2 linked regions of the Mus musculus genome follow. The protein of the gene in region 2 purifies or fractionates together with the protein of the main gene of each other region. This does not show direct contact. Links are inferred from orthologs where the notes say so. Each region holds a gene or a part of one and is shown on either strand. Other genes may lie near its edges.

Region 1 (3,807 bases), on a different chromosome or scaffold from region 2:
CTCACGTGCCTGCGGCGTGGCAGCGGGCTGCTGTTTTCACCTGGGCATCACATGCTTACCGTTCTCGCTTTGACTTTTCTAACTTGTCTTTCAGCATCAGGACCTCTTTCTGCAGGGCCAACTGGTGGCTTTCGGAGTCGTGGACTTCCTTCTTCACGTTCTTTACTTCTAGCACGTGGGAGGCCTCTCGGCGCACCAGCTCCTCCTCGTAGAACAAGACTTTCTTCTCGAGCTCCGACCTGATTTTGGAGATCTCCTGCTGATGTTCCGACGCGGCCCCTGGCCCCCGGCCTCCTTGCTTTACCTTCAGAGGAAGGTTGAAATGACAGCCTCGGTGTCAAGGCCACGATGTCTCTTCTTCTTCTACTACTAGCTGGCATCTAGGACTGTACCAGGCAGAGCAGCCACCACCCATTCACCTACCAACACTGAGTGCTGACTGCTTGTCACAAATCTCCCAGTGACTGGGGTGACACTAAGGTCCCTGTTCTCAGGAGCAGGAGGAGGTGACAGAAACCCACTAAGTGAGGGAAGAGGGAACGTGGTGGGACAGAGGATGTGTGGTGCCATCTTGGCCTTGGAGGAGCCTAAGCACTGCGTGCTGGGGGTGGAAGTTTGAGCCGGGTCTACGAGGAAGGCTGACATGGCTGAGGAAGGCTGTGGAGCTGACTCAGCTTGAGCAGCCACTCTGCAGACCAGGTCCAGAGGGTACCGAGGAAGGAGCTGGATGCCCCTGATACTTCTGTTATACTCCCTGGTGGCTGTATGTGAGGAATGCGCTACAGACAGGTAAAGAGCCGGCAGAGAGTCCCAGGAAGCAGTCTAGGAGATGGGGTTGCCAAGAGCTGGATCCGACTGGATCCGATGGTAGCGAAGAGGACAGAGGAATAAATGTCTTGGGCTTCAAGGAGAGAGTTGCCATGATAACTATGAGGCCCCAGCAGCCCCTTCAGTCCAGCTCACCCATCCCATACCACACTACACTGAGAGCGGATGAAAGCAGCTGGTGGCCCTCACTCATGACTGTTCCTTCTCTTGGACTTCCTACTGCCCTCGTACCCCATCAGTTGGTCCTAGTGTGGAGCAGCTTGTCTCTGCAGCATCAACAAAGGACATGGACCTGACACGGCTTTTCCAGAGCTGAGCATGCCCAAGTGCCTATACTTGATCAGGATCAGAAGGAGGCAACATCTGCTAACTTGGCAATACTGACCACAAACACCTGATACTTCCACACAACAGAGAAATGAATGTGGCTTTTATAATGAAGCTGTTAGAAAGGCAGTGGCCACCCCCTACACTTCCTCCCATCCTGTGACTTCCTGGAAGACGCTTGGGAGACACGGGTCCAACCATGCTTGATAGCCAGCACCGCGGCCACGTGCATGCGCACACGGGGAAGCCTTACCTTGAGGGCCTCGAGCTCGCGCTCCATCTGCTTACAGAAGCTCTCGCTGTGTTCTCGGAGCTTCCGCTCCTTAGAGGCCTCGGCAGCTGCGTCCTCAAGCCGAGCTTCCAGCTAGGGAAAGCAGATCTGCTTTTAGTAAAACAGAACACGGCCCGAGAGTCTCGGTACAGATTTCCCTTTGCCAGATTCGCCATGAGCTGAAGGCTGAGGGACACTTTAGCTGCAATGGCTGGCTACGACCACTAGCAATCAAACAAGCCTGCGTTCTAGTTAAATAGATAATCTGAGGTTTAAATTCAAGGAAAGGTCCCAATTTGTAGAAACAACTCTGACATGTGAAGGTGTAATTAAAAAAATTATTACACTTACAATTTAGTTTTTAAATGAAAAATGCAAACATCGGCTAAAGGAGAGAAAACCGCACACACCCATGATCCAGCTTTGACAGGTGACTATTAGCTAGAGACCAAGCTTGCTTTGCCTGTGCCCACATTCTCTGGCTGCTTTAAAACAAAGCTCAGGGTCCCCATCACTTCATCCTCAATTCTCAGGGGTTTCACTGACCTAAGCTGTGAGCCCACTGATACCACCACAAGTCCATCTGGGTTAGAAAATCAACCAAGAACACGGTCAGGTGTTTAGGGACGAACACAGAGCCTAGACATGAAGAGTGCTCAGCACTGCAGGCTCTTGAGGTTCACGATCCATCAAGTGCACTTAGCAGGACTTAAAGCCACGTGTTGCTTAGTCTACCGGCTGCTCCTAGGAGGGCTTGGAAGCCGTCCAGGGCAGGGGCGTTCCAGGCAGGACTGACGTCTGCACCCAAGTCCCAGTTAGTCAAGTGCTAGAAGGCACTGTCCCCAAGCCTGCTGACTTGATTCTGACCCCGGGGAACCCAGGCAGTGGAGGAGGAGGCTGGCTCCTGCCGTTGTCCCGTGCCCACATGTTCATCAGCATACGTGCATCCTCACGGGAAGGGAAGCTACCTCTTTCCTGGACTTCTCAGACTTGCGGAGGTCCTGCCGCATGGAGTCGATCTTCTGCATGGCCACCTCCATCTCCTCCTCCTTGTCCCGGAGCTGACGGGACACCTTCTGCTTCAGCGACCTGAGCTCCGACATGCGCTCATTGAGCTCTGAGAACTCCTGCAGGGCCCGTTTTCGCTGCTGATGCGCGTCTTTAAGTTCTTTGGTCTGGGATTTCAATCGCTCTGAAGCCTCAACCAATTGCTGAAGGAAAAGAGTTCTCGGTTTTACATTTCCCTAACAAAGACTCTGAAACCCAGGAACTGTGTCTTGTCATACGTAAGTTAAGAGCGATTCAAATGCTGGCCAGAAATGACCAGAAATGGCCATGGGTTTGCAGAGTGCTCCCGGGAACAGGGTGCGAATTAGGTGCTCAGCACCACGTGAGCCAATCCTCCTCACAGTAGGTCTCGGCAGCAGAGTCCCCTCACACATACACAGTTCCCTCACTCAGACAGCCTGCGCTACCTTGTGCAATTCTTCCTTCTCCTGCCGGGCCAGGCGGTACTGCTTCTCGAGGCCCTTCAGCCGGTGTGTGGAGTCCTCATGCTCCTGGCGAAGTGTCACTGTGTCCTCCAGCTGGCGTTCGAGCCTGTTTGAATCTGGACAGAAGAGAGTTGGATTGTGTTCCTGTGCGTACAGTGACTTGGTGTTAGCTGATTTACTGAGTTGGAGTTACCTCGGGATTCATAGGAAGCAGTCTTCTTCACTAGTTTTCATGTATTTAGTGTGTGTGTGTGTCTGTCTGTCTGTCCCCATGTGTATGCTACAGTGAGGGTGTGAAAGTCAGAGGCTGACTCGTGGGCAGCAGGGACTGGACGCTGTCAGATTTGGTGGCAAGCACCCACGGCACCATCTCGCCAGCCTCGCGATGTCTTCCCTCAGAGGCCTTTGCTCCCCTGCACATGGCGTCCGGAGTTGCCGCTCCCTGCCAGCTCCCCGAGGGCTAGCCTAACTGCTTGTTATACTCTGCTTCTGTTTTATTCTGGAGACCTCCGCTCACAGACAGACCTCCCTCTGGTGCCTGTGCTCATTTGCCTCAGGCCCTCTGACATCCAGCAAAGTGCTGGCCTCTGTCCCAGTGGAAGGCGGTACTTTGTTTAGTGAATAATCGACTCAGCCCTAACCTTTTTAAAAATCAGGATAGTGGGGCCTAATCAGAAACGGAGCAGACAGACTCCAAATCTAACCTGGAGACAGAGGCTGACCGAGGAGCCTACCCACATGTGGCTATGGTATATGGCTCAGGAGTGATCGGGGTCCTTAGAAGTTTCCATGACCACAAACTATAAATACGATCGGAAGGTGCTGGAGAAATGGCTCAGCAGTTAAAAGTCCTTGTTCTTGCAGAGGACCTGGGTTCAGTTCTGGTTC
Region 2 (4,342 bases):
CTTCTTTACCTGTAGAATTAAGTCCAAACAGCTTAGAAACATAACCGTGTCACTTAGTGTGGTTCTCAGAACTGTAGCATGGCTATCCCCCTATAGCTTCTTAGAAATGCAGACTCAGGCTGATGAGATAGCTCAGCGGTTAAGAGCACCATCAGCTCTTCCAAAGGTCCCGAGTTCAAATCCCAGCAACCACATGGTGGCTCACAACCATCCGTAACAAAAATCTGATGCCCTCCCTCTTCTGGAGTGTCTGAAGACAGCTACAGCATACACACATATAATAAATAAATAAATCTTTAAAAAAAATGCAGACTCTCAGGTCTGGGGCTGGGGCTGGGGCTGGGGCTGGGGCTAGAGATGGCTCAGCAGGTAAGAGCACATACGACTCTTAGAGAGGACCCGAGTTCAGTCCTAGCACCCATGTTACATAGTTCACAACTCTAAGTCCAGCTTCTAGGGATCTGTTGCCCTTCTGTGGCCTCTAGACACCTGTACTCATGTGTACATATCCCTACATGAACATACTTTTAAAATACTTGTAATTAAGATAGAAAATTATCTTTAAAATTAATCTTTAAAAAAGATTTTAATTCCTGGTAAGGCAGTGGCAGGTGGATTTCTGTGAGTTCAAAGCCGGTCCACTCTACATAGCAAGTTCTAGGCTATGGACCACACAGTGAGACCCTCTCTGTAAAAAAAGAAAAGCCAGACTGTGGTGGCACCTGCCTTTAACCCCAGTAGAGGCAGGAGGATCTCTTAGTTCCAGGACAGCCTGGTCTACAGTGGGTTCTAGGGCTACACAGAAAAACCCTATCTTGGTAAAACAAAACAAAAGCCAATGCAGGACCTCAGGCTCTAACTTGCCAGGGTTTTCAGAGTACCCATATTTACAGTCAGTCTTAGGAAGCACCTCTTTTGTTAGCCCATGTAAGATGAACATCAAGATTTGTGGATTCCTTCAATTTTAATAATGGTTGTTTCTCACTGGCCAGGGGGATTGCCCTTCTATTACTCTTTCAGCTGATTTCTAGATGCTGGGAGGTGTCTGTGAACTGAGTGGCTGTATTCTAGCCCCTGTAACAGGCACAGCTCCTGAGCAGAAAGCCTTCCAAAACCTCTGCAGCCGTGTTACCTCGATTGGGGCTACTTTTCATCCAGAAAATATTTATTAGCTTCCTGCTGCGTGTCTAGTTGGTGCCAACACAGGGAGAAGGCACTGAGCTTTCTTTGAGGTCTTCAGTTCCAAATCCAGGATCACCTAGTCGAACGCCTCCAGGGCTAGAAGTTGTGTGCATACCACTCGGTACCTCGCTCCCCCAACTGCGCGGCTTTTCTGAGCGTTACGGCGCCCTCCTCCTGTTCCCCCACCCCACCCCCCGCGCGGGGCGGGCGGGGATCCACGGGTTTCGCTCCGCGTTCGTAGCAGAGAAGGGAGGACCCTTGGGAACCGGACCCTGGTCGCCCAGTCCTGTTCTGGCTTGGGCCCACATGGAGGGGACCGCGGAGTCCCAGACGCCGGACTTGCGAGACGTGGAGGGCAAGGTGGGCAGGAAGATCCCTGAAGGACTGCTCCGCGGGCTTCGAGGCGAGTGCGAGCTGGGAACCTCTGGGGACGTGCTGCTCCCGGGGGCGCCCAGCACCGGCCACGGCCTAGGGGACAAGATCATGGCGCTGAGGATGGAGCTGGTGAGTGTGGGTGCTACAGGCCACGGGGAACGGGATATTTGTAGGGGCAGGGGCAGGTTCCCGGAGTTGGGCTGGAGAAGAGGGTCCTTCCAAGATCAATCCATACATCCTGGGTTGAAAGCAGAGTGAAGTGACGTCTCATTATTTGTCTCCCAAGGGTGAATGAAGGGTTGATAGGTCCTGAGAACTGAGAGTAGGAGGCACATCTCTTGGAAGTTTTCCCTGCCCAATAATCGGAAGGAGAGAGGCGAGGGCTAAGTAGCACACAAAAAAAACTTAGTACAGCGCAAATTCTTCCCATCGGCATCCGGGGCCACCAATTTCTTCAGACTCCACTATAAGGCAACCGTTTTCTGCCCCCTTCTCTGGCAAACAGGGGAAGAGGTTTTGTTCTTAAGGCCCTAGGGTGTTCGTGTCAGGATTCAGAAAAAAAAAAAAAAAGAGCTTTGGTGAGGTAATACCTGCTGGAAACTGCCTGCACTGGTGGGGCACACTAAAAACCTGTCCTTTTCCTAAGCATCCCACCATCACGGTATTAGACGTTCGAAGACCTTAATAGAGGCACAGTAGCACCACAGTACGAGTTGGTCCTTCACCTGGGGCTCAGTCTCAGACAGAGTCTCAGGGTCTCTGTACCTTCTTGCAGAAAGGGGGAGGAAACAGCCACACCTCCCCACCCCCTTCTCTGGTAGCTGTTGGTCTGGTTTCTGAGCCAAATGGGCAGCCGGGTCCCAGCGGTCTCTCCTGGGGCCCTGGTTCCGGTGAAAGAGATGAATTACACCTGCCACCACTTTGCAGCCAGTTCTGGAGAACTGAGGAACTGCCAGCTACTCACTGGCTCTGAACCAGAAGCCCACACTGGCTTAACAAGTCTTCCTGGGGCCCCACTGTGTGCACAACCTGTGGCAAGCAGATCTGGAAGGGTGGAAGGAAGGACATGGGACCTTGAAGGCAGGTCCAGGGCTTTCATTCTATGGTAAGAGAGGCTAAGAGAACCTTCGGAGCTGAGTGGTCAGAGAGGATCGCTGAGGGCAGGATCTGAATGCCAAGTGTGCATTTGGCTTTGAAGGTTGTATCTGAGTGCCAGATTCTGCTGAGCAGGGCTGTGGCTGTATTCTCCTCTTAAAGAGGTCTGGTTTGTCTCTTTGTACAAATTGCTCAAGGCATAGAGAGAGTTTACCTAGTTTGTCCTTTGAAAACTAAGGTGTTTTGTTTTGTTTTATTTTTGAGATGTGGGCTTACTGTGTAGCTCAGGCTGGCCCCAAACTCATATTCCTCTTATCTCAGGCTCTTGAGTGCTGGAATTATGGGCATGTGCTACCATTCCCTGCTGGAAATTAAATTATACTTAGAATATAAGCCATGTGTTAACATCCAGGATGGTACAAGGTGTTTTTCTTTTTAAAGAACTTTAAGAAACTTTATGTGTAGGAGTATTTTGCTGGTGTGTGTATGTGTGTATCACATGCATACCTGTTGCCCATGGATGTCAGAAAGAGCATCCAATCAATTGGAACTGGAGTTATGGATGGTTGTAAGGTACTATGTGGGTGCTGGGAACCTAACCTGGGTGCTCTGTGAGAACAAGTGCTCTTGACTGCTGAGCCACCTCTCCCCAGCCATTCTTCTCGGAGGTCCTGAGATTGAACCCTCTCACACGCTAGGAGAGCGCTCTACAATCCAGCTGTACCACGGCTGCTATGTGATGTCTCCTCCATGCTTGGCTTGATACATGGTATTTCACAGATGAAAGAATGAGGTAAGAAGAGGTTAAGCAGTTGCCCAAGGTCACTCAGGAAAGTCAAGTCAGGATTGGAGCCCAGATCATCTGGCCACATTCATCATGAAGACATGCTTTGTGCCAGATACTTTAGGCACACTTTGTGTCATTGAAATGAGAAAAGTTTCAAACGCCCATGGGCTTGCTTCTCATACAGGGAATCCGGAGGCCAGCCTGACCTCTGACTCTCATTCTTTATAAACTTTGAGGGAGTACATTTAACTTCTAATTTCGTCTTTTAACTTTTGGCCCATCGAGCCTGGGGTCTAGGTTTCCCATGAACAGTGTACCAGTAGAGGAGGAAGATCTCCAGTCAGGCTCCTTTCTCCCTCAGGCCAGGAAAGCATTGATTTCTTCTTGTACTCTGCTCTACCCTCTGGTTTACTGAAGCACAAGGGTAGGGCAGGAGGTTTGAGGCCAGTAAGGCAGAGCTGACCCAAGCCCTCTGATATGCCCCTCGCCCTGCTCTCCTTGTGTAGGAGCAGACACTTGCCCTTCAGGCTAAGGTCAACCCTGCTGTTGGCTTCCTACTCTTGCTTTGTTTCCCTAGTCTGTAAAGAGCCAGATTCTGAGATGTGTGGGAATGGCAAACAATGGCAATCTCTCAGTCCACCCAAAGAGCTGTTGCTATGAGAAGCCACCCCCACAGAGCAGTTTGTGAGAATGTATTAGGCAAAGAATGGAGGAAAGACATGGGTTCAAATCTTCTCTCTGCTTCTGATGTGTTTGCTGTCTTAAGGAGGGCCCTGTCTCCTCCTTGTCTTTAGGGCTTTTTACCCTTTGGTGGAGGAAATAGGGGATAACTGTAGAACTAGACACCTGTTAAGAGCTTTTATTTTACTGACAATGTTTAATGCCAGCAGTCAGTTACCATGG

Evidence for each region.
Region 1: the proteins of Lurap1 (region 2) and Cdc42bpb purify together in Homo sapiens (co-immunoprecipitation; 3 studies listed by BioGRID and IntAct, with this or other methods). This does not show direct contact. The link is inferred for Mus musculus from reciprocal best matches to the Homo sapiens genes LURAP1 and CDC42BPB.

Annotation. Positions count from the first base shown.
Region 1 is NC_000078.6:111,318,570-111,322,376, forward strand, and holds part of Cdc42bpb (serine/threonine-protein kinase MRCK beta), read right to left. Parts: intron 3,036-3,807; coding exon 2,902-3,035; intron 2,638-2,901; coding exon 2,395-2,637; intron 1,520-2,394; coding exon 1,409-1,519; intron 305-1,408; coding exon 60-304; intron 1-59. UniProt on the Homo sapiens protein: Serine/threonine-protein kinase which is an important downstream effector of CDC42 and plays a role in the regulation of cytoskeleton reorganization and cell migration. Regulates actin cytoskeletal reorganization via phosphorylation of PPP1R12C and MYL9/MLC2.
Region 2 is NC_000070.6:116,141,641-116,145,982, reverse strand, and holds the start of Lurap1 (leucine rich adaptor protein 1), read left to right. Parts: upstream 1-1,366; 5' UTR 1,367-1,488; coding exon 1,489-1,686; intron 1,687-4,342. UniProt on the Homo sapiens protein: Acts as an activator of the canonical NF-kappa-B pathway and drive the production of pro-inflammatory cytokines. Promotes the antigen (Ag)-presenting and priming function of dendritic cells via the canonical NF-kappa-B pathway.